Linked DNA regions of Cricetulus griseus. The protein of the gene in region 1 purifies or fractionates together with the protein of each later gene. This does not show direct contact. Links are inferred from orthologs where the notes say so. Each region holds a gene or a part of one and is shown in the gene's direction. Other genes may lie near its edges. The genes, in order: Rab3gap1 and Vapb.

Region 1 (12,400 bases):
TGCTCTACAAGAGCTAGTTCCAGGACAGCCTACAAAGCCACAGAGAAACCCTGTCTCAAAAAAAAAAAAAAAAAAAAAACCAAAAAAAAAGAAAAAGAAAAGAAGTATTATAGAGTATTGTAGGATAACAGGGAAAGAAAATGATATATAATCATATTGTTACTTTTATGATTTAATGATAAAGGATATTGGTAACATTGAAACCTATAAAAAGAGCTTAATATTATGAAGTACATTTTGTTTTCCTTTCCTTCTAGAAGGAAAATTTCATTACAGAAATAGAACCATCTTATTGAGAATGAAAGTGCTCCTGAGACTGGGAGCTGGCTAGTGAGCTAGGGGAAAGCTTGACCCCAAACAGAAGGAGTACTGAGTAGAGAGTCTGCTCTGTCCCCAGATGGAGAAAAGGAACAAGTCCACTTCTGAAATGGGCAGTTTTTTTTTTTTTATCTTCCTCAGAGCAAAATAGATCTTTCCCCCCAACCATAGCTTTTAAGCCTAGGGTTTCTATGTATAGTCCTGGCTATTCTGGAACGCACACTGTAGGCTAGCCTTGAACTCACAGATTGACCTCCTCCTGACTCCTGAGTGCTGGGACTAAAGGTGTGTGCCACCACCACACTATATCTTATCTTATAGCTTTTATTAAGAGAGTGTACGTAGGCCAGGCGGTAGTGACACATGCCTTTAATCCCAGCACTCAGGAGGCAGAAGCAGGTGGATCTCTGTGAGTTGAAGGCCACCTGGTCTACATAGCAAGGTCCAGAACAGCCTCCAAAGCTACAGAGACATCCTGTCTTGAAGAAGAGAGAGAGACAGAGACAGGTGTACTTAAGATGAATTGATTTCTTGGAGTTAAATGTCAAAAATGAGTAAGTTTTTTTTTTTAATGTAGGTGATTTTGTCACTGAGTTTTTAAAAATTTGCCGTCGAAAGGAATCAACTGATGAGATTCTTGGACGATCCACATTTGAGGAAGAAGGAAGAGGTGACATAGTTTTCCTTTTTTACATTCTTTTTAAAGCCTTGCCCTTGCTCTTTGGAATATATTCTGACAACTTTTTATCTGAGTCAAGTTGGAGAAGCAAGTGTAGATGGATTGCACACATGCCTTTCTTTCCAGGCTGTACCCAGAACTTGTTAAGACAGCAAATGCATTTAATCAATTCTTGCCACAGAAAAACATAGTAATGTATTTTGAAAAGCAGAATTTTAGATATTCATGTTTGAAGTCCCCCAAGGAAAAATAATTTGTGTGATTTATCTCTGACACCACACTTCCATGTAAAGCTGAACTTGTGAGTCAGAACTTTAAATTTTATAATTCTGAAAGCATGTAATACTTGTGTAAAGAAGAACTCAAATGTGAATGTCATCATTGTTGTGCCCAAGTTGCGAAGATCCCCAGAGACCACCAGAGAGACAGACCCACTGAACTGTAAAAGCAAGGTTTTATTGTTCATCCAACCATGACAGGGACCCTGTCTGGCTTTCTGATGCAGCAGCCACCAGAGGGAGCGAAGTTCCCTGTCTACTGCTAGGTTTTAAGGACAAAAGCTACAGGATTACATCAGTAGGTACGGGTTGGTTTCTGATTGGTTGACATTTGGGAACAATTAGGAGAATTTCTCAAAATCATATTTTGGCATGAAATACCTGTCTACCAATTATTCTCATTGGTCAGTGCTGAGAGGGAACATTCTGTAGTTTCTATGGCTTTGTCTTGTTACTTGCAGGTGGCCTGTTGTTCATAAATACCAATAGTTTTCAGAACTGTATCTTGGAAGTCTCCCCTGGAGTTTTTGGTCTTCCCTGGAGTTTCTTTTGTGGCCAAACAGTTCCTAGGAACCAAGCATCTAAGAGGCTGGGGAGGGGAGGTAGTGGCTGGAGTTTTTTTGTTGTTATTGTTCAGTTTTGGCCCGAGGATCTGGAGTTTTCCTTATGTTAGAGGCCTACATGTTTTTTCTGTAGCCTGTTATGGCTGCTAAAGCAGGGGCTGAGTGAGGGTCTGGTCCCTTCAATCAGTTTACTGATCACTTTCCTACCACTTTTGGTGATATAATTTGCATTTCTTTCTGCATTGTAGAAGTTGCAGATATAACTCATGCTCTGTCAAAGCTGACGGAACCAGCACCAGTTCCAATTCATAAATTATCAGTTTCAAATATGGTACATACTGCAAAGAAGAAAATACGGAAGCACAGAGGAGAAGAATCACCACTGAACAATGATGTTCTCAATACCATTCTCTTGGTAAGTGCTACCTCGATTTTGTTTGTCTGCATAAGCATGTGCTCATTATATATTCAGTTCCTTCTTTATGGCAACCACTGGATTGGAAGTGTAAAGTGTAAAACACAGTTCTACATTCAGAGACCATTACTAGTTAGTGGGAAGAAGAGAAGTGGAGTTACAGTCAAACAGGACAAGGAGGCAGTAAGAAGAGAACAGAACGTGTTGTGTGTGTGCGTGTGTGTGTGTGTGTGTGTGTGTGTGTGTGTGTGTGTGTGTGTGTGTGTGTGTGTGTGTGTGTGCATGCCCGTGTGTAGCTACGTGTGTACTAACGTGCATAATGGGAGGTCTAAAGAGCTTCCTAAAGAGCACTGGGAGCTAAGTCAAGAAGCACAAGACTGGGCACTAAGGTTTTACTTTGTTGCTGCCCAAGGACATGTTGAACAGTGGTGTTTGTAGGGTAAGGATGGGCAGGTAGCAGGAAACCTGCATGATGCGGCACTTCACTTCTGTCTTACAGTCTAACACTGCTTGAAACACATCAGTTTGTGACAGAAATTGAACTTTCAAAATGTTCTTATCAGAACAGTCTAGAAAAATCTATACAGTAAGGACTAGAGAGGAAACAAAGAAGAGGGTTAGGTGCATCCTAGGTATAATGTAATTGGATTGGGTGCAGCCTGGGAACCACAGAGCAGAGAGAATACTGACTTCCCACAAGTACCGACTTGAAACAAGTCACTGCATTTTTCTCATCTCTCATATGAAGCCGATAGTCCAGCATGATTGCCCTCACTTTTAGTCCTAGCATTTAGGAGGCACAGGCAGGCAGACTTCTCTGAGTTCTGGTGTACATAGTGAGTTCCAGGACAGCCAGAAATGCATAATAGAGAGACCTTGCCTCAAATCCCCCCTCCCCCCACCAAAAAAAAAAAAAAAAAAAAAAACAGGAAAAAAAGGAACTGGAGAGTGTTGTAAAATTAAAGGCCATGTGTGGTACTTTCTGGCATGTAATAGATCTTTATTTAATGATGGTTGTTTTTATTGTAACTATACTTATAATATAGTCTTGAGGGAAACTCTTCAAGCATAGTGTAATGAAGGGAAAGGGAATGCTGTATGTAGATCCGATGCTGACCTGAGCATATGTCTTGCCATTTTTTCTGAGCAAAACTCTTAGAGTTAATCTATAGCTGGTACATTATAAATGTAGGTAAGACGAGAATGGGATAGTGTTTGTAAATGTCCCTCTGCTGGCTCTTAGTAATTAGTAGTTACTTCAATAAGTCTGTTAAATATTGGCTAAAAAACTAAAAAGTCTGAGCATGTGGCAAAGAAGACAGATTATTGGGTAGCAATATCAGAAAACAGTTTGGATACTAATAAAAGAAAGTAATTTTCTGTATAGAAGACTCCTTAAAAGTGTGTCCTTACAACTTGGTAAAGTGGTGTAAGCCTAGCACTTGGAAGGCTAAGGCAGGAAGGTCATGAGTTGAAGTCCAGCCTAGGCTTTATAGTGAAACCTTATCTTCAAAAAAAGTAACCTTAAAACTTTTCAAAGTGCACTGGGTATTGGTGGTGCACGCCTTTAATCCCAGCACACAGGAGGCAGAGGCAGGTGGATCTCTGTGAAGGCAAAGCCAGCCTGGTCTTCAGAGCGAGTGCCAGGATAGGCTCCAAAGCTACACAGAGAAACCCTGTCTCGAAAAACCAAAAAAAAAAAGTTTTCAAAGTGCAAATTATATAGTCATCATCAGCACTGAAACCTCCCATCTCATCAGTGTCTGACTAAAACCCACACACACCGAGCCTAGAGAAGATACATAGGTCTTTCATACCATGCCTTTAGTGTTTCATACACGAAAACATGTGGATGATCTTACCACTTAAATACAGGGGTGCTTTTAGGTTGTCTGTTAGCTTTGACTCTAAAGATAGTCACATTTTTCTCTTACACAAGGTAAACATATTACACTATTAAATCTATCTATATATGTATATTTGAGTATGGAATCAGTGTGATGAGATTTTTGCTTCTGTGTTGCTCAGTTTGCAGAATCAAGTGGTTATTTGAATGCAGATTTTCTGAAATTTGTGTATTACTGAAAAAAATTTCTTTTGACTGAATATAGAATCAGCTGGACATCACAGTAAGAACATTTCTATAATTTTAACAGCAAATCCACTGGAAAGTCAGACAGTGTCTTCTGTGGGTTATAAAAATCAACAGAATAGCCAGGTGTGATTGGTGGCTCACACACTTATTCCCAGCACCCGGGAGGCAGAGCAGGCCTAAGATCTCAGTGAGTTCTTCAGTATCCTGGTCTACATATTGAATTCCAAGTTAGCCAGAGCTATATAGTGAGACCTTGTCTCTCAAAAAAGAAAAAGAGAGAGAAAAGAAAGGAAATAAAAAAATCAGCAAAGCAGGCAAGTTTAACATGTATTATTCCCTTTCCCAGTTTTTGTTCCCAGATGCTGCTTCTGAGAAGCCACCGGATGCAACTGCTTCAATAGACAATAGCAACCCTCCACCAGAGGGTGAAGACTATGTAAGTTGAACTTCAACATTAAAGTATTTTAAATGCACTTAATTTCTAAAGTTTTGCTGAATGTCTAGTGTGGCAACCTAAGTATCTCTTCATTTTAAAAACTATCTTGGAGTCGGGCAGTAGTGTCACACGCCTTTAATTCCAGCACTCGGGAGATAGTCAGGTGGATCTCTGTGAGTTCAAGGCCAGCCTGGTCTACAGAGTGAGTTCCAGGACAACCAGGACTACACATCGAAACCCTGTCTTGAACCCCACTCCTCCCAACTCCCCCCCCCCCCAAAACCAAAGTCTTGGGAAATTGAGTGGAGTTCACAGTCACTCAAATAATGACCTGCTTAGGATGTTTTACATAGATCCCTGTTTGGGTAGCAAGAGCTTTTAGGAGACAGAAGATAATAGCATAAGTATACTATGCATAGCTGTCAGAGTCCCCTTATTTTAGAGTTCTTGTCAAATCATTAAGTTTGTTTTGTAGCAGATTCTTATTGGTTAACTATGTGATTCTTCTTACATGCTTATTGTTCATGTATGCAAATTTGCTGTTAACAGGGTTTTATTTGTTTCTCTTTTGTTAAATTTAGACTCTCTACAATCAGTTCAAATCTGCGCCCTCTGACAGTTTAACATACAAACTGGCTTTGTGTCTTTGTATGATCAATTTTTACCATGGAGGGCTGAAGGGAGTGGCACATCTCTGGCAGGAATTTGTTCTTGAAATGCGCTTCAGATGGGAAAACAACTTTCTGATTCCAGGGTAATAATTTTAATTTCCAATTGTTTGGGTAGTTTTTTAGGAACCCTTCCTGAAAAGTAGTAAGAAATGTGGATACAGCTTCCTCAGAGGTGTTCAGTGCAGTACATTTATAATAGGAGAAAAGGCCTGACAACCTGTCAGTAGAAGAATTGTTCAGTTGTGCTGCCTGTCTACGGTTTCCGTCAAAGTCTGTTTTTTTGTTTAAGTGGTGTATTGGGGATTGAACCTAGAGCCTCATACATGCTAGGCAAGTGCTCTATCACTGAACTATATCTGAAGCCCTCAAGAACCTTAACCCAGAAACTGTGTTGGGCATGGTTGGTGGCACATGCCTATTTCCTAGCACTCAGGAGGCAAAAAGGCAGAGGCAAGCAGATCTCTGAGTTCAAGGTCAGTGTGCTCCATATAGCAAGTTCTAGGCCAGTCAGAGCTATGCAGTGAGACCCTGTTTCAACAAACAAAGGCATAGAAACTATATTACTGATTAGGTGTGGTAACACCTTACAGAATGCTTTCAATTATGCTGATATGTAGGTGTAGGAAAAAGATTGGAGAGAAATACAGTTAATAGTTTTCCCAGGTGTGAAAGTACTTTTTTCTTCTTTGTATTTCTTTATGCATCCATATATATTTTATTATTTGAAGGAAAGTACCTTTAAAGGGCACTGTAAGTTCATGCACTAAACATTATTTAGAATCTTTTTATATGGACACTTCGTCCGTCAATTGAATAGACCATTTACTGAGTATTCATGGCCGTACTTCTAGGCTAATGCTTGTCTACCTGTGTTAAACAGAAAGTCATGTGACTAGTGGAAAATGGCTACTAACCCAAAAGTGCTTGGTGTTAGGGAGTTTGCCAGTCTGTTTATCTGGATTTTCTCTTGGCTGTTACTGTTTTGCTCTGAAAGTTACCACACATGCAGAAGCACACTGAATGGAAGAACCTAGTGATTTAGAACCAGAGGGAGGCCAGGATCTCACTGGAAAAATAGAGATAGAGAAAGACCTTGGTTTGTGTAATGAGAATCCACCTAATAATTGAAAGATGAATGCATGGCTGACTTTAGTTCGTGTGATGTGCAAAGCACTGTACACTAGTTACTTCCTGTGGTGGGTTTAGAGACTCAAGTTTCTAATGAGCTTGGAAGCTGTTGGGAGTTTGCCCTATGTTTCACATGTCTTTTACATTTGCTGTTGATTGTGAGCTATGAGGATAAAAGTAAATTTGAACTTTTAGTCATGTGTACCCTCCTGGAATTTGGCTTTCTTATGTAGAAAAATCTAGTATTAGCTTCTTGACAATACAGCTAAAAAATATGGCCATGAATAAGTAGGCTTGTCTGGTATAATTTTATTAAAACTAAGCTTTTATTTTTCTTTTTTCCTTTATTTGGTAGACTAACAAGTGGACCACCAGATCTAAGATGTTGTTTACTACATCAGAAACTACAGGTAACAGTTTCCCCACAGCTGTAGCAGTGTGTACACACACACTTGAAGCTTAAGCTAACACTTAAGTGTAGTAATGGCTTATATAGGCTGTTTTCCTTGTGCTGCTTCTGGGTTGCTTATAATCCCTATAATTCTTAGCAAGGTCCTGGGAAAGATTAGAAAGAAATACCCAAGCAATTGATACATTTTGCTTTTTACTAACTCATCCATGAATGTTATTTCTGTTTTCTTCAGATGTTAAATTGTTGTATTGAAAGGAAGAAAGCACGTGATGAGGGGAAAAAGACAAGCCCTTCAGATAATGTAACTAATGCATATCCAGGGGATGCTGGGAAAGCTGGAAGCCAGCTAGGCCTGGACCATCTCAGAGATACAGAGAAGGAAAAGGGAGAAGTGGTGAAATCCTGGGACTCCTGGAGTGATAGTGAAGAAGAATTTTTTGAATGCCTCAGTGATACTGAAGACCTTAAAGGAAATGGACAGGAGAGTGGCAAGAAAGGAGGCCCCAAGGAGATGGCAAACTTAAAGCCAGAAGGACGGCTGCACCAGCATGGGAAACTCACATTGCTGTATAATGGAGAGCCTCTCTACATTCCGGTGACCCAGGTATGTACACAAGGCTTTCAAATTCAGTTCCCTTTTGTTATTGATTAATTTCTTCCCTAGTAGGAGGGAAGATTGCTTTTGGTAGGGGAGATTTCCTTAAAGCCTGTTTAGGTTTGGAATTGAAATGAACTGTGGAATTTCTAGGTCTGTCACTCTGAAACTGAGTGGTGTTTTGAACCTTTAGTAGATAGCACTCACCTTAGATACAGTGACTTATTAATTCTTTGAGAATTCCATGCAGTGTGTTTTGATCATACTCTCCCTCACCTTCTTCCCCTGACTTCTAGAATCTGTACCTTCCTTACCCTCCTTAACTTTGTGTCCTCTTTTTTTTTTTTTTTTTTTTTTTTTTTAAATAGCCCATCAAGTCCAGTTTTTTTGCCTACATACTCTTGGGTGTGGAGCCACCTACTGGAACATGGTTGGCCTACTAGAAGCCACACCCTTAAAGAAAAACTGACTCTCTTCTCTCTGGGAAACCATCATCTGTCCATGGCTCCTTACTCGTGGGTGGGAGCTCATGAACCCCTTTCCACTCCCTGTTGGAATGCTGACTGACTTGATCCTATGCAGGCAGCTGCAGTTACAGCTGCTGTGAATCAGCGAATCAATGGGTGCAGGGGCCTAGTCATTTCCAGACACGCTATTTTGCTTTTGTCTTCTCTTGTAGACTTTCTGTGCCCCTCTTCAACAGTGGTCCCTGAACCCCGTAGAATGATTATTTCTTAAACTGAGTATGGAATACTCCAAAAATATGGAATGGAAAGAACAAAAATAATAGTCCTTTAATTAGGATTATTTTTATTTCTTCAAATATGTTTTAAAACCATTTTATACCATTAGGACAGAATTCAGTGTCTAGGAAAGAATTCATTTTTGGTGGTTGGTTTTTGCATAAATGATATGTGAATACCTATTATTCTAAAAAAAAAATCAAGCTACTGCCTATTGGTTCGGCTCTTATCCTCAGAAGTAAATATTATTACTATTTGAGTTATGTTTCTGTGCATGAATATATACATATTGATATTTATGATTTGATTTTATTTCTGAATATGAGCACTGGTATTCAGCTCTTTGTTTATCCCGTCTTGATGCCATTATATGTATATCTGTGCCATTTCTTTGTAATTGTTGCATAATATTCTAACACATGGAAGAGCTATAGCTTATTTAATTATTCCTGTCAATCACTGTGTGCATATCATTCACAAGGTTTTGCTCTTTTAAATGTCTATCCCTGCCATTATTACATAAGAAAAGTGGCATTACTAGGTAAGTAGATAGATGCTCTCAAGGTCCCTTTAAAGAGGTCGTACCTGTTTTACATCCTCATCAGTGGTAAATGAAAGGGTAAGGAAAAATTAACTCTCACTCTCTCCCTTTCTTATATGATGAAATGCTTAGTATGTGCTAACAGCTTGTAGCTATGGCTTCAATAAGGTTCTAGCACTGAAATTACTTATATTTTACTTCACTTTCATAAACTACATTTCCAGTCCATATCATTGTCAGTAGTATACTGACATAGTATCTTTTATTTCCCTGACTTTTTCCTTTTTTGGTTTTTTGAGAAAGGCTGTACTATGTAGCCCTCATCACTGTGATGATCAGGCTGGTCTCAAGCTCATAGAGATCTGTTTGCTTCTGTTACCTGAAGGCTGATTAAAGGTGTACACCATCACTGCCTGGCTTTCCTGACTTTTGATGAATCCTTCAATGTTTATTGGCCATGATTTCCTGTGAATTATATAATGAAATGTTTTCATAGCTATTACTAAACTGTGTCTCTAAGTGGTTGATCTAATTTCTATCCTATCAACAATGTATGTGATTATTGTGTGTGATCCCTTTCACTTGATGTGTCAGGGGTCCATATAACAGTAATAAGTAAATAAAATATAAATGGGATTACTTGTATTATGTGTTCACAGAATAATACAGGATTGTACTGATTAGTTTTTGTCAATATGACACAAACAAGAGTCACCAGGGAAGAGGGAACCTCACTGGAGGAATTGGCTCTATAAGACTTTTTTTCTAGGTGAATGATTGATTTTGGGACGCTCAGCCCACTGGATGGTGCTCACCTCTAGGCAGGTGGTCCTGGGTTGTATAAGAAAGCAGGCTGAGCAAGCCATGAAGTGCAATTAGCTGCAAACAGCATAACTCCGTGGCCTCAGCTTCCTGCCTCCAGGTTCTAGCCCTGAATTCCTTTAGTGATAGATTTTGACTTGAGAATTGTAAGATAAATAAACCCTTTCCTTCTCAAGGTGGTTTTGGTCAGTGTTGCCATGGCAACAAAAACCTAAGGAGGACAGAAATATTCTTGGCTTTTGATGTGGGGAGAAAGGGAAAAAGATGAGTCAGGTCTCATGTAGTCCAGGTTGGTGTTGAATTCACTGTGAATTCATAATCTTAAATCCCAGATCCTTAGCCTCCATCTCCCAAGTGCTAGGATTATAGGCATGTACCATCATGCCTACCTACATTATGTGTTTATATGGCTAATTCTTTCCAGCACAGTTTTATTTTGGATTCATGTATATTACTGCACTAGTGGTTCATTCGTGTTTATCATTTAATAATTTTTCTTCCATGCTGTGACTTCACAGCTATAGAGATAGTTCATTAATAGCAAGAGGAAGGCCTCTGCTCTGAAGTGTGCTGTTTCAGTAGAAGCTCATGTAATTTGTAAACCTGTCTGCCTATAATAATTATGTTTAGTTTGTGGGAGAGACTGAAGTTTATATGTGTTTTACTTATAACGGCTAGTGTTTACTAAGTGTGTGCCAGGACTAAGCTTTCAGACAACCTCTGAAAGGAGTGAGGTTACATAGTGGAATTCCAGTATAAACCTAGCTTGGGAACTGTTTGTCTGAACCAGTGTGCCATCCTGCCTCACCAATCATTGTCCACCCTGTATGTCAGTAAGTCTTACCTGGTACTTAATTGTTGTTCATTCAAAGTGATGGGTGATAGCTGTAGAACAAAGAAAACTTCCTGTCAGAACTATCATTCTAACATTGATCAGTTGCAGCCTGTTTTTTTGCACTAAAATTTTACATTAATAGGCAGAAACATGTGCCTTAAATGCCAGTCCCTTTTTAGCTTAGCGTTCTTGACAAGGGAAACTTGGTAGTCTTGTCTGTCAGGGATAGGAGACCTGACCTGAGAGTCATTTATATTCTCTCTCTCTCTCTCTCACACACACACACATCTCGTTTGTCTGTCTTTTTAAGACAGGATTTCTCTGTAGCAGACTGGCCTTGAATGCCTAGATATCTACCTGTCCCTGCCTCCCAAGTGCTGGGATTAAAGGTGTGTACCACCACTGCCTGGTGAATCATTTATTCTTAATTTGTTACTTTTTTAAAAGGGAGGATTGTTAAATTTTTACATTTCTCTGAATTCTTTCAAACTTGTATGCTGTGGCTACATGACAGAAACAATTTTTTATTTCATTTTTGAGGTTTTCCTTTGTTTAAAAGGGGCCACTGGTGACTTTTGTCCTTCTGTGCTTCACAGGAACCAGCACCCATGACTGAAGATCTGCTGGAAGAGCAGTCTGAGGTCTTAGCTAAATTAGGAACCTCTGCTGAGGGGGCACACCTCCGCGCACGCATGCAGAGTGCCTGTCTGCTTTCCGATATGGAGTCTTTTAAGGTGGGTCACACTTTCAGAACTCTGGGTCTATTTTCAGCTATTCTGGGGTGAAACTGTGAAAAACACAATAAAGTGATATGAAGACTGTGTCTTTTTTTAGTGTTTGGATTCATTACTTGTTACAAAATTCTACCTCAGCACCCAAAGGATATATCAGACTCAATTCTTAGGTTTGACAAAAGAAAATCAACCTGCTTTCCAAAGTTGAGAACTGAATAAATTCTCTCTGTGTTAGGAATTTTTTTTTTTTTTTTCATTTGTGTGTGCCCAACCAATTTAAGGCATTTAGGAAACTCTTGGGATTACAACAAACATTTGTGTGCCACACACTATGAGTAGGTGGGGGAGATAAAGTATTTAGTCAGGATCGGAGAAGTGACTGACTTGTTGACCATTTATGGGGAGTTTCTAAGAAGAGTCAGTATTTGTTACCTGGAGGGGGTTATTGTGGGCTTGGATAATACTTGGTGTACAACACAAAGCATATAGGTAACAGTGACATTTGAGTGTCCTTAACCATAACATACTACATGATTCAATATCTGAAACTTTAATTTTATGTGTATGGCTATTTTGCCTGCATGTATATCTGTGCACCATGTGAGAGCTGGGAATTGAATCAGTGTCCTATGGAAGAGCAGGTGGTGCTCTTAACTGCTGAGCCATCTTTCCAGCCCCCAGTGTCTGACACTATAAGTAGAAATTCCACACTATACAAAGTTATTTAAGTCATTTATGTGTGTGTGTTATGCATGAAAAGTAAATGAATTTCATGTTTAGATTTGATTCTGAGTTCATATTGTGTCTCTAAAAATCCACAAATCTAAAAAAGTTCAAAACACTCCCAGCCCCATGTATTTTGGATTAAGGAATACTCAACCTGAGTGTGAAAAATAACTCAGATGGGGAGGCCAGTGGGCCAAAGGCTTCCCAATCTACTCGTGAAGTTCTGAACATTTTCCAGGCCTCTGTCTTCCTGGTTCATAGCCCTTCTCAGTCCACATTTGCCCTTTGCAGGATGGCCTGAGTTTGATTTCTTTCTGAAATACTGTTTTCTTAAACATAAGCACTGTATGACTGACTACCTTTTCCACTTTCTTCCCTACCTGTTAGGAGGTAAGTGATAAAAAATGGG
Region 2 (12,400 bases), on another chromosome or scaffold:
TACAGCCCGGGGCCCTGTACCTACTGAAGTCCATTGTCTGCCCTGGGCTCTGCTGGTGGCTCATGGGCTCTCACTGCTGCGAACCCACTCACTCTGTCAGCCCAGGACCATGTTACCATCTCCATAGTTTTGCCCTTTCCAGAATGCCACATGGTGACTGTCACTTAGAATATGAATTTAGGGTCTTGCCATGGCTTTTCATGCCTTAATTACTTATTTCTTGGTGAATATTATCCCCCTGTCTGTCTCTACTTTCTGAAGGACTTGGTTTTGCCTCTGGTGAGACCGTTGAGTCTCCACTTCAAGGAGTGCCAAGGGGAGTGATGGCTGACTTAGATAAGGAGACTAGGGTTGGTTTTATAAGAAACACCTACTGGACCGGGTGTAACATGTGTGAGGCCCTCAATTTAATTTTGAATAGCACCCCAAAAAAGAAAAGAAAAAAGGAAAACCTGGCTGCTTTTCACAGTGGCTGCATTGGCTTCAGCTGTGCTGGGAAGCAAGTGAGGACATCTCATTGTTTTCAAGTGACAACACCTCATTGTTTTCAGCCTGTGTTCTTCTAGGAGCATCTTCCCATGTGCCCCCTGCCCTCTGCCTGTCTTTGGTGGGAATTCTACATCTCTTTTGTTTATTTTCAAACCAGGTGGTGTGTTCAAGAGTTTTCCATATGTTCTGCAGATGATCCTTTATCAGGCCCACCGTCTGCAGGTAGCCCTCCTGCTCCATAGCTGGCTTGTCCTTCCAGCCTGTTGGAATGTCTTTTGCAGAGCAGATGTTTTTATTTGACTTTTCAGTGCTGGAAACGGGACCAGGGCTTCTTGAGTGTTAGGCAGCAGTGCTCCTGAGAGTCCCAGCCCAGACCACAGGTTGGGAATTTGAATGAAGTCCAACCCGTTCACTTCTTTCTTCCATGGATTCCACCATGCTTGTTTTTCCTAAAAAATCACCCAAGTCCAAGTCATTTAGATTTCCTTCCATGCTACCTTCCAAGAGTCTCATTTAGGATCTGTTTACTTATTAATTGCAAAACAGTGTCCCACCTGTAGACTTGGCTGGCCTGGAACTTACTGTGTAGACCAGGCTGGCCTTGAATTCACAGAGATCCGCCTGCCTCTGCCTCCCAAGTGCTGGGATTAAAGGTGTGTGCCACCATGCCCACTATATTAGGCATTGCTAATCTTTATTTTCTAGTAGAACTGAATTGCTGTGTTAAAAATAAAATGCATCTTTACCATTTCAGCATGCAGTCTTGCCACTTACCAGACAGAACCCTAAGACACACTTAAGTCTGCAAATGAGAACATCCCAGGCTGAGCCCTGAGCTCCTTCTGCTTTCACCATGGCCCTTACAGCTGCCAGATATGGACCCTTTAGCTGCTGTCTTGCTGAGTTGGAGTTTGGGTTTCCTGACAGGAGGAGTTCTGTGTTAATGATGCTCTCTGTGCCACCACAAAGTGGTCAGACCTTGCAAAGGTTCAGGGAGCACTTAGATATTACCCGAGCATTTCCTGATTCATAAAATTACCCAGCTCTCTTGTCTTGTTTTGTTTGAGACAGGATCTTACACCGTAGACTGGAATTTCTTGTTGTGCATTGTGTAGTTCAGGCTGACCTTGAACTCACAGCCCTCCTGCCTGGGCCTCTGTGATTGCGGAGGGCCTGGCTTGAATCTGGCTGTCTCTGGAGAGATCTCAGCACCTGGAACTTGAAGATAGTGTTTGAAGTCTGAACTTGTGTCCTGTGACCTGCAACAGAACAACCATTCTCCCCATCTACTTTTGTGACTATGAACATTTCTTCTGGGTCTGTGTTCTTTGCTTTCTCAAACAAGGAATCCAGACCTTACTTTCTTAAGTAATTTAAAAAGACGGAGAATCAAGCCACAAGGCCTGGGGAGGGTGCGGGGTGGTTTATGCCCTGCTTTGCTGGATCTAATCCCTTCAAGAACAAGTGGAGGAGTTCATATTCTGTTAGTTAATGCTGTTTCATGAGCATCTTTATCAACCTTAATAAATGCCCGCAGGTGCACACAGCTGTAACGGGGAAGGAAGAACCCATTCAGCCTGTTACAGAGAAGAAAAAAAATGTCAAAGCATTCTGGGAATTTACTTCAGGTTGAGGTTGCTTCACCGTGCTCATTCATGCTGGAGATGTGTAGTTTCTAATTTCACACAGACATCTGGACCAAGGGATAGATGGCACGGAAGAAAGTAATTAAAGGAAGCGATGTGTTCCAGCTCTAGAGACACAAATCATTTTTTTTTCATCTCTTAAAAGAAAAAAGCTTAACTTTTGAAGATTTCATTTGTAAAATTGACTTTGTATTTTATAAGCAATGTTTAAATTCATTGGTGATAAATATGCGTGTTTGCGGAGTAAAATCCCATTTTTTACATAATGCTTTAATGGGAATGGCAGTTTTATGAAATGGAAGTGACTGGGAAAGATCTGAGTGAGGCTCATAAGCCTTCCCATCATTTTTATTGCGGTTTTTGTGCGCTCTAATTCATTAGTACGGGGGAAGGAGAACACTAACATGGTTTATCTCCTGTAATTACTCAAATCGAATTTATTTTCAATAAAATTCGTGGAGTAAATTGCCCAGAGTGGGGCGAGGAGGATTGGCCTGTTTTTACAAAATGCCTTGATTTTTACCCATGAGACTTTGCTGCCCTGCCAATGATGTCTGTGCTGCATCTATTTCCAGCATGGCTCCCTCTAGAGTTTTACAAATGAGTGCCCAGACCCAAGGCGGGCGCTCGGGGGGGAAACGCTACTTATTTCATCCCACTCTCTGTTACCAATATCGCTCATCTTTTAATAATTTAGATCATCTTTTATGTGATTCATGTAAATTGAAACAGCATTTAGATTGCCACATAAGGGGCGGGCCCGGAGAACTTGCCACGTTTGTGCTCAATGGAATCTGGCTCATGTGTCTGGAGTCCTACAAGAAGCTGGTGAAGTCTCCACCTGGGTTCCCGGCCCAGCTTTATGGGAACAGAAGGGGAAGTCACTAGGGGCTGGGGTGGGCATCTTCAGTGTTCTGCTCGCCTGTGAGGTATCTCTATGTCTGTTGTGTATCTGGTATGCCCATGTTTCCACACTGTAGAGGCAGATCTCCTCAGAAAGCTTTGCAGCCTGCTCCTTGGTAAGTTCCTGGGTTATGTTCAGATGATTCTCTACAGGGTCATCTTTGAATCCCAGATGTACCAAAAGATGACCTTCAGCTTCTGGTCCTCCTGCCTCTATCCTCCCAAACTTGCTGTTGGAAACAAGCCCTTTAGGGTGTGCGTGTGCGTGTGCGTGCGTGCGTGCGTGCGTGCGTGCGTGTGTGTGTGTGTGTGTGTGTGTGAGAGAGAGACTTTGTCCTCCAGGACCCCTGGCTGCCTGAACACCTGCGCTTGCAGAGTGGTGTTGGGTGTGTTTATGAAATACCCGCCTGGCCAGTTGTACCATGCAGGCTTGTAGGTCTTACCACTTTCTTTGGCCCTAGAAAACCAAAGCTGTTTTTAGCTCTCCTTTTTATAGACGGTGCTCACTTGCAGTGATCCCCACCTTAAGTAAAGGGGGATCAACCTTCCCATCTTCCCATGAGTCAGCCAGCATGCGGTGGAGGTGGGACAGGGTAGAATTCCCATAAGTCCCTGGATGTTCTCAGCACAAAGTGTCTCATTTCTCCCTGGAGGCCAAGAACTTGTTGCAAGGGTGGTGCCTTGTCAGTACCCAGCTCTTGCTCCCTGTGGCTGAAAACCCTCTGGGCACAGGTTAGCTGCTTCCCATATGTTCCCAGTCGGGGAGCTGGGTGGTTTTCTGTGGAATCACTTCCAAGTCCTTCAGGAAGTCCCCCTGTTGGCTTTCAGCCTGGTTGCTAGAGCTAGAGGAGGGCTTCCTGAAAGGCAAGGTAGGCAGATGGAGACATTGTCTTCAGGCCTTTTGATCTCTGAGGTGCTCCCCATAAATGAGAAGAGCTTTTAGGACAAGCGCTCCTCAGTGGGTGAGGCATTGAAAACATGCATCCCGCAGTCCCCCGAGCTGTGGAGAGCAGGGAAATGGAGCCACAGGGCCAGTGGGGTAGGGGCTGATGGACCAGCAGGCACTACAGCTGAGGGCTCCTATATGGAGGTGGCTCTAGGCTTCCAGCCCACAGTTACTGTGTGTTTGCGGGAGGCTGAAGTTGGATGAGTGACTGGTGACCATGTGTGAAGAAAGCAGCAGAGCCCAGTAGCCATGTCAGCGACAATGTGTTTTGCACAGTGAGGTTCAGCAGGTACCAATTGTCTGGGGCTCCTTACAGACAAGATTGTGCATTAGCAAATGTGAAAATTGTCTTATGCTCAGCGTGTCCCCTGATGTGCATATCTACCCCAGTTGGACAGACTGGTGCTGCACTATGCTTGATTTTGGACTCTAGCCTCTCCGCCTTAGTCCACCATTTGTGTTTAAGCTAAGCTTGTATTCAGTTGATCTTTCATACCCTGAGTACCTCAGAGGAAGCCAGCCTAAGGCACTTGCTTTTCTGGAGATAATCTGTGAGTAGTTTTCTTCTTGGTGTATGTGTCTCAAGACCTTTACTGTATCAAGGCAGAGTGTGGGGAATGGAGATGGACAAAGCATAACCCTGCCCTCAGCCGCTGAGGGTGCATTTCAGAGCACATCTCTGAGAGTCTGTTGGGGCCTCTGACATGTGACAGGTGAGCCAGTGGATATTCTTTGTAACCACGGAAACACATTCCCCTCCCCTGCTTCCTTATAAATGTGAGGGTGGAACTGAAAAGCCTGCCTATAGGAAACAAAGATGTGGCACTCACGGGAAACTGGGCAGACTGGATCTGGGACTGGGGTGTAGCTCAGAGACTGGGTACATGCGCAGGTCTGGGTTTGCTCCATAGCAACACACAGACGTGAACACACAGGCGCATGTGCCATGACAGGAGGTCCTGCCGCCTCTCTCTCGACCTGACCCCCTTGACCCCCTCATAAAGCCTGGTGGTGAGGTGTCCACTGATGAGCCAGTGAGAAGCAATAGTGCAGGCATGTCCTGTGTACATCGCTCCTAAGTCTAGACGGCTGCACGAGCTCCCACATGGTTGGTTAGTTACCTCAGGCACAGATGAAGCTTATTAACTTCTCTTTATACATCTTTCATTGTTTGGTTTGTTTTAAGAAGCGTGTTTTACTTTTTTAATTAAAAAATCTAATAAAGTAGGAAATGAACAGTAATAGTAATAAACAGTAACCCAGAGCCACAGAACGTCGTTCCAGGCTTCCCTGAAGCCTGATGCTTAGAGTTGCTAGCAGGCCTCTGAGTGAGGCCAGCTGTCCTTGCCGTCGAATTGTTAGGGGTTTTCCTCTCTACAGAGTCCTGCTTGCCAGAGGCCACCTGCCACTTGCCACCTGGTACACTCTGCTCTTAATAGTCGCTGGGGACCCATGCCTGGTCCTCTGTATAGTTTCTGCCAGATTCCATAGGGGTTTTGCAGAAGCGAATATTGAGCACAGGTAACTGTTGTTGTATTTGGACTGTCTGGTTCTAGATCCTGTCGTTCATACAGGTCTGCTGTCTTAGCTATGCTCTCTTCACAGCTCCTTCCGCACCATATCTGTTATCTCTGTCACCAAACTAGTCTGTCTCCTACACTTTCCTCACAGGACCCCAACCAGCTGTCTGTCTCTCCATATAGGTCCCTTCACTGATGTCGTTACCACCAACCTAAAGCTTGGCAACCCAACAGACCGAAATGTGTGTTTTAAAGTGAAGACCACAGCACCGCGCAGGTACTGCGTGCGGCCTAACAGTGGGGTCATTGATGCCGGGGCCTCTCTCAACGTGTCGGGTAAGTGCTGACTCTGGAGGTCATGGGTGGGTTCCAGAGGACCCCTGCCTAGAGCTTTGTCAGAGCAGGTATGTTCAGGACAGTGCAGACTCCTCCCCACCTCTCCCATCCCACCGTGGGTAAAAGCTTGGTTGGTACCACCCTCGACTCTCTATAATCCATGTCTCTTTGTTTTCGTGCTTGCACTGCCTATGCCTTAGTAGGGGAGCAAAGTTAAAGCGGTGGCTTTAAGCCTGACTTGAGAGTAGGCACCTCCATTCTTTTGGAGTAGAAAGGGACTAAACAAGCTTCATTTTACTTTGTGGGAGAATACAAGATAGAGTTATTTTCTTTATGCTAAAGGATTTCCGATAGTGCTCATGTCTAGTGATTGGAGGTGCCCTCTATTCACTGAAGCTGAGGAGGTGGGAATGTAGTCACGGTTGTGGGGCCCTGTGTGTTCTAATGCCCCCCCAACCCCTGACCCCCAATCAGGGTACATGTTTTCCAAAGCCCAACCTCTGGAAAGAGGCTGATGAGGTGCCCAGATTGAGAGCTGGTTTTCAGAATCGAGGCGTGAGTGATGTGTTAGAGTTTAAATGTGTTTAGAGAAGCGGTGGGTTTGCAGCTCATTAGAACTGGTGATGCTCAGAGGGGCTGTGGGGGAGGATGTGTCCTTTAGACACCATGACTCAGTGTCCCCCACTTCTCATTTGAAGTGAGCGCCTGTCTGGGTTTTTCCATGACGGACTTTGATTGTGCTGCATCTGGCTGTTCACCTGACACCTAAGAGAAAATGACTCACCTCTTTGGAAAGATACAAGGTGTTTCATTATCTTGGACTCTGATTCCTCGCCTCCGTAGGTGCCTCTCATCATAGAGCACCCACCCCCAGCTCCCCCGCATGCTCCTCTCTGAGTGTGCAAGGCCTGGTCTGGACTCCTGAGTCAGATCTTGGGTCAGGAGCAGTTAGCTGGCAGCCAGCGCTGGTCGAAGGGTTCCCCCTGCCAGAGCTCACACGCTGCCACCATTTGCACTGTGCAGAGTGCGGTGTCATGTCCGGTCCCTGTCTGTTTTTGAGTCATGAAGCGGGTGTGTGGAAGAGCCAGCGCTCTGTGACTGGTGTCCTAAGAGTAGGAACGGTCAGGGTGTGATTGCTGCTTCCTCCATGTGTCTTAAACTTTGGCTGGGATTAGCGCAGCTGGATCCTTCTGTCCTGTCCCTGTTTTGTGTGCTGCCAGAGGGCCTTGTGTGGCTGAGCTTGTCGAAACCCTGTTCCTTTCTTTAGCCCCATCCCCCAGCTTCCTTACCCATAACACAGCCTAGAAAATTTTGAGTTTATCAGCAGATGGAAATCACCAATTTTCATAGGAAAATAGCAGCCTGGTTTTCTGAGTGAAATAATCTCAGCAGATAGGTAGTGTAGGTGTGCCTGCTGATGTTACAGGTAATTGTGTGCGTGCACATGCATACGGATGTGTCTTTCACCAGGAGCAAGGCCTTCCTAGTCTCTGGAAGGTTGTGAGAGTCCTCAGGCTCCTCAGTGAGGGCTGCTTTTGTTGCTATGCCTTCCTCTGCAGATCAGAAAGTAAGGAACTGGCATGGATTCGATCCTTCCCTGTCACGTGACTGTCAGGCAGCGCTTGGGTTAGAGGCAGATGGTCTTTCTATAGCACTATGCTGCTGCCTCACCAGGTAGGGGGTGGCTGCCTGAGCATGAATCTGAGATTAGGGGGTGGGAGAGCAGGAGGGCTGCTTGACTAAGGAGACGTTTGCAGCTTTCCCGTGAGAGAGGGTGGCACATGGAAAGTTTCTGTGGAAATGCTCCTGTCTGTCCTTGGTGGTGGCCTGAGGGCCAGGAAAGCCATGTAGTCTGTGCAGCCTTAGGTTCTGGGTGTGCAAATGCCGCACTTTAGTCATGCATATCTTGGGTGGAGAAGCACTGTTCTTGTCCAGGCCTGGGTCTCGAGGAGTGCAGCCACTGGGGTGATAGCATGGTGCGTCAGAGCCCCTAGAGAAGGCAGGTTCACGGGCAGACTGCTGTCCCCAGTGTGCTCACACACATACTTGTTGCTTCACATGATCTGTCATTGTGCCTGTGACTGACATTTGCCAGCCTGGTCACCTCTGTACACTCTAGTGTTGTCCCTGTAAATGCAAAAACAGCCAGGCTTGAATGGAGACTGAATTGTATACTGTTTGCATTGCCTTAAAAAAAGCAAATGTGTGGCCCTCCTGAATTCCTATAAAACACACGTTTATGAGTGAATTTTCACCCACAATTGACAAGATGGTGACAGTCAAATGAACTTAAGCCTATCACCATGGTCCTGCCTAGCACCCAGAATGTCACAGGACACCTGGAAAGGACAGGGCTACTGTACTCTCCCTCCCTTTCTTAAGACCCTTGGAGGCTCTAGCTATTAGAGGAAACTATAAATCATCTCGTAAAGAGGGGGGAGGAGAGGGGGAGGAGAGGAGCAGAGAGATAGAGGGTTGGAGGGGGTGAGAGTGGTGATGATAGGCTGAGGCTTAAAAGGCTTTGTGTCCTGCATCTTGGCTGTGACAGGCATCCGCAGTGGTCCTCAGCCACACCCTTGATTGCCTTCCCAATGAACCTGAAGTTCAAGGGACCTTACATCATGCTTCAGAAGCTCAGGCTCTGACGGGCCGCATTGCTTCCTTCAGAACACAGTGAATCCATGTGCGTGAGGCTCCTTTCCTTAATCTAGGCAGCCCAGTCACAGTTGGGCAGAGGCATAGCCCAAGGTTCTATGCCAACCGAGTGTGACCTGTGGACATTCCTGGAGAGCTGCTCTGGGCCTTCCTTTGTCTTCACAGCTGTAGACCTTGGTAGTCTGCGTGCTGTAGTCCGCAGCACAGCTCGTGGTCACTCCCAGAGTGCCACAGATGAGACATGTGTCCTTGATGAACACTGACCTTGTGAGCTGGGCTTGCACCTTGGCAGCCCAGGCATGTGGAGATGAGCATTCTGGGTCGGGGGTGGTGGTGGTGGTGGTGGTGGTGGTGGTTGAGTTGTTCCCAGAGATTTCAGGCACAGGGAGGGTTGGACCTTTGCCTTCATCACTGGTGAGAAGCAGGTGGGAGTGGCCCATTCTAGCTTTATAGAATTATCTTTCAAACTGTATAGTAGAGAAATATTTTTGATGTGTGTAATTTCTGAAGATGTCTTTGTGGAAGGCTGTTAGCAGTGGCAGATCTTGATCTTGTTTTTAATGTTACAGTTTAGTAACAAGGGACTTTTCCATTAATATTCCAAACAGTGTTTGCCGGCATGCGCAGCAGGTGAGGTGGTAGAGTTATGGGCCCATCAGAAATACTGAGGCTCCCTGTAATCAGACATTAAGTTTAGTGTTTGTATAACCTCTGTGGATTCTAATCCCACAAAGTGGTGAGCGCTTTCATTTGTAGTTTGGTTACCCCCATTGCCTGCCCCTGTGCCAAGTGCATTACACGTGCAGAGCGTCCATGGGGGGTGTGGATAGAGTCATTACAGACGCCAGTCTTTAGGTACAGATTCTCTTTACTCAGTGTGCCCTGGGATTGAAGATGGATTAAAGCCAAACATAGGTCTCCCAGTATCTTGAGTCCGTATTTTAAACTGAAATCCAGAGCATAGAGGGGCAGCGTAGGTTTCTGACAGCCCCTTCAAGACTCCTTTTTAATTCCATTGAAACTGTAAAGTTCTTCCAGTAACAGAATGGATGTCAGCATCTCCTGGGATGGTGACATTGGTCTGTTCATATCATTGGGTAGCATTGGAACTGATTATTAATCTGTTTAAGATGGTGCTGGCTTGGGGGGATGCTACTGTTTACTGGCATTGAACTGGCCTGCTGTGGGCTGCAGCATGCAGGTGCTGAATCTCAGGGTCAAGGTGCTCCTAGCCTGCTGACAAAGAAGCCTGCTGTGCATCTCCCAGTGTGCACAGGAGAGGCTGCCATGGGGCTTTACCTTCCTTGGGCCCAGCCGTTGCTTGAGAAGGCTCTGATAAGTGTGACTTTTAACGAGAAGTCTTCACTACTCTGAGATAAGAACAGCCTACACTGCTGCTTAAGATAAATCCCTAATCTTTTCACCAGATTAGGTTATGGCCTAAAATATTTTACCAATAAAATTCAGCTTAATTGGGCTTAAAACTTTCGAAGGTTGCTGCAGGCTGCAGGGTTCTTAGGGAGACTATCCCCATCCTTTACGGATGTCACCGAAGGGCAGGACCCAGGGCCCTGGGCAGGGGATGCTCAGCTGGAGGGCACCCTTTTGCATTGCAGGGTGATTCAGGAGTGCAGTGGTAAATGCCTCCCCAGTCTGGTCCTTTCAGGTGATGCCCTTGGCTCCCCTAGGAGTCCCATCCTGCTCTTTCTAATCTCACCAAGCCACTCTGGTCTCTAGCTCATTGCAGAAGGCAGGGCGAAGGCTTGAGAGGCAGCCTTGGGAAAGGAGGTAGCAAGAGTACCTGGTAGACTGGTCGTGAGTGCTCAGAGAACAGGCCAGAAAGAAGATGCTGGGTATGGGAAGTCCCCTGGGTGTTTCAGATGGTCAGCCCTCAGAGGTTTGATGCACAGGTCTTACTGAAGAGACGATGGGGGTGGTGGGGTGTACAGTTACACTGGGAGGCCCAAAGAGAGGCTAGGCTGTATCCTCCTGTTCGTTACAGCACATGAAGGAAGCTGAGAAATGAGGACTGAGTGGCCCAAGCAGCCTGTAGCATACCTCCTTTCTGCTGGTCCTGCAGAAAGGGTAAAGTGTGCACTGTGGCCTCTGCACAGACAAGTGGAGCAGGCTGCCAGGTGCTTGCTACCTGAGCCGAGAAGCCCACAGGGGATGCAGTTAGATCGACAGTCCTCTAATAACCAGGAGAAATTAATTATTCACCTGCTAGACTTGGGCAGTAGAGGCCCAGGAAAGTAGTCACAGGTCAGCATTCTGAGAGCCCTGAAGGAGATGATGAATTTACTCATGGTGAGGGCTGAGGCCAGCGGCAGTGTCTGCTCCTGTATCTCAGGCTGGAGTCCCACCATTACAGCTTCGCCTGCCACCTTCAGCTGATAAGAATCTCATGTTTGCTTTGGTTTAAAGCAGAGCAGTGGTGCCATCATTTCAGAAATGCAGTGTGGTAGGTGGACCGTGGTCTTCTGACAAGCGGACTGTGCAAGGAGGGAGCAGGCAGCAAGAAGAGATGGGAGGAAGAGAGAGCAAAGAGGAGAGCCTGTTGGGTGAGGGCAGGAAAATCTCTTCCTTTGAACATTTCTATTTATTATTATTAATTACTACTGTTGTTGTTATTTTGGGTTTTTCAAGACAGAGCTTCTTTGTATATCCCTGGCTGTCCTGGAACTTGCTCTGTGGACCAGTTAGTTGGTCTTGAACTCAGTTGCCCTGCCGCCCAGTTACTGGGATGAAAGGCGTGTGCCACCACCACTGAGCTCCCTCTAAAGGGAGTGTGGTGTAGGGTGCTTGAAGTTAGGAGGGGAAGAGGGTTCACACCACCAGCCAGTGGGTGCTCATGAACATGTAAGTTCCACAGACACCCAGCCCTTGACTCACTTTGACTAGGAGAGGCAAATCGGCAAGACAGTGCACATGGGGGTTGTAGAAAGAAGCTTTGGTGAGTGAGCTTCCCTTGGCAGGGACAGGCGGGGCACTTTCCAGCCATGCCTGTGGCTTTCAGAGAAGAGTACAGCCCAGTTCTCCAGGAGCAGGTTCTCAGTGGGACCCCCGCCAGCAGATTCTATTTCATTGGCTCCTTTGCAATTCTGGTACATCCCAAAGTTGGCTGACCTTCCTTCAAAGGACATCTAGGATATGAGTGTGGTGAGGGGCACCACAGAAATGAGGGTAGGTTTTGGGAGTGGTGGAGAGTGTCCCAAGGTGCAGGACACGGAGCTCGATGCATGCTTGCCGATCCAAAACCAGGTCTACTGGCCGAGGAGGGAGGAACTGGTGAGCTGACTATCTTCTACTTGGGCAGCAGCAGCTGTTATAGATAGCTGTGATCCGAGTGCTGGGGGCGGGGGTGCGGCGAGCCTTCCTGGGTCTAGAAGGGACTAGTGCACAGGCTAATCTAGTGGGAAAGAAACAGGGAGAAAGTTGGCTGGGAGGAAGAGAGTGAGTGGGTGAGTGAGTGAGTGAGTGAGTGAGTGAGTGAGTGAGTGAGTGAGTGCCAGAGCTGGCTGTGTCTTGTTGACCGTGGAGACATTTCTAGTTGAGAACTGACTCTGGGCAGTGTTGCTGTCTAGACTCCACATCTGCCCCCCCCCCCCACTGTGGTGCAGATGAAAATGGTCTGTGGTTGTCCAGTGCCCTGGAAGCAGCTTTCATACTGTATTTAGTTGGGTTGTCATTTTCCAAGCCAGTGTGTGTTTTCAGCTGCCTGTTTCCTTCTTTTGAAGGAAGTCTGGCCTGATCGATTGGTGCCTCGTGACCCTGAAGGTTCTTCACAAGGGCCCCACTTTCGTGTCTAATGCAGCAGGCTCCGTGTCAGGAGCTGGGTGTGGGTGAGGGGGTGACTGAGCCTAGGTTGTCTCCTGGTAACCGGCTTCTTTAATGTTCTGTCAGCA

Evidence for each region.
Region 2: the proteins of Rab3gap1 (region 1) and Vapb purify together in Homo sapiens (affinity purification with mass spectrometry; 4 studies listed by BioGRID and IntAct, counting the BioPlex papers as one, with this or other methods). This does not show direct contact. The link is inferred for Cricetulus griseus from reciprocal best matches to the Homo sapiens genes RAB3GAP1 and VAPB.

Annotation. Positions count from the first base shown.
Region 1 is NC_048598.1:60,890,494-60,902,893, reverse strand, and holds part of Rab3gap1 (rab3 GTPase-activating protein catalytic subunit), read left to right. Parts: intron 1-895; coding exon 896-988; intron 989-2,086; coding exon 2,087-2,253; intron 2,254-4,694; coding exon 4,695-4,784; intron 4,785-5,365; coding exon 5,366-5,538; intron 5,539-6,938; coding exon 6,939-6,993; intron 6,994-7,227; coding exon 7,228-7,599; intron 7,600-11,127; coding exon 11,128-11,265; intron 11,266-12,400. UniProt on the Homo sapiens protein: Catalytic subunit of the Rab3 GTPase-activating (Rab3GAP) complex composed of RAB3GAP1 and RAB3GAP2, which has GTPase-activating protein (GAP) activity towards various Rab3 subfamily members (RAB3A, RAB3B, RAB3C and RAB3D), RAB5A and RAB43, and guanine nucleotide exchange factor (GEF) activity towards RAB18.
Region 2 is NC_048599.1:5,239,133-5,251,532, reverse strand, and holds part of Vapb (vesicle-associated membrane protein-associated protein B/C), read left to right. Parts: intron 1-5,687; coding exon 5,688-5,840; intron 5,841-12,400. UniProt on the Homo sapiens protein: Endoplasmic reticulum (ER)-anchored protein that mediates the formation of contact sites between the ER and endosomes via interaction with FFAT motif-containing proteins such as STARD3 or WDR44.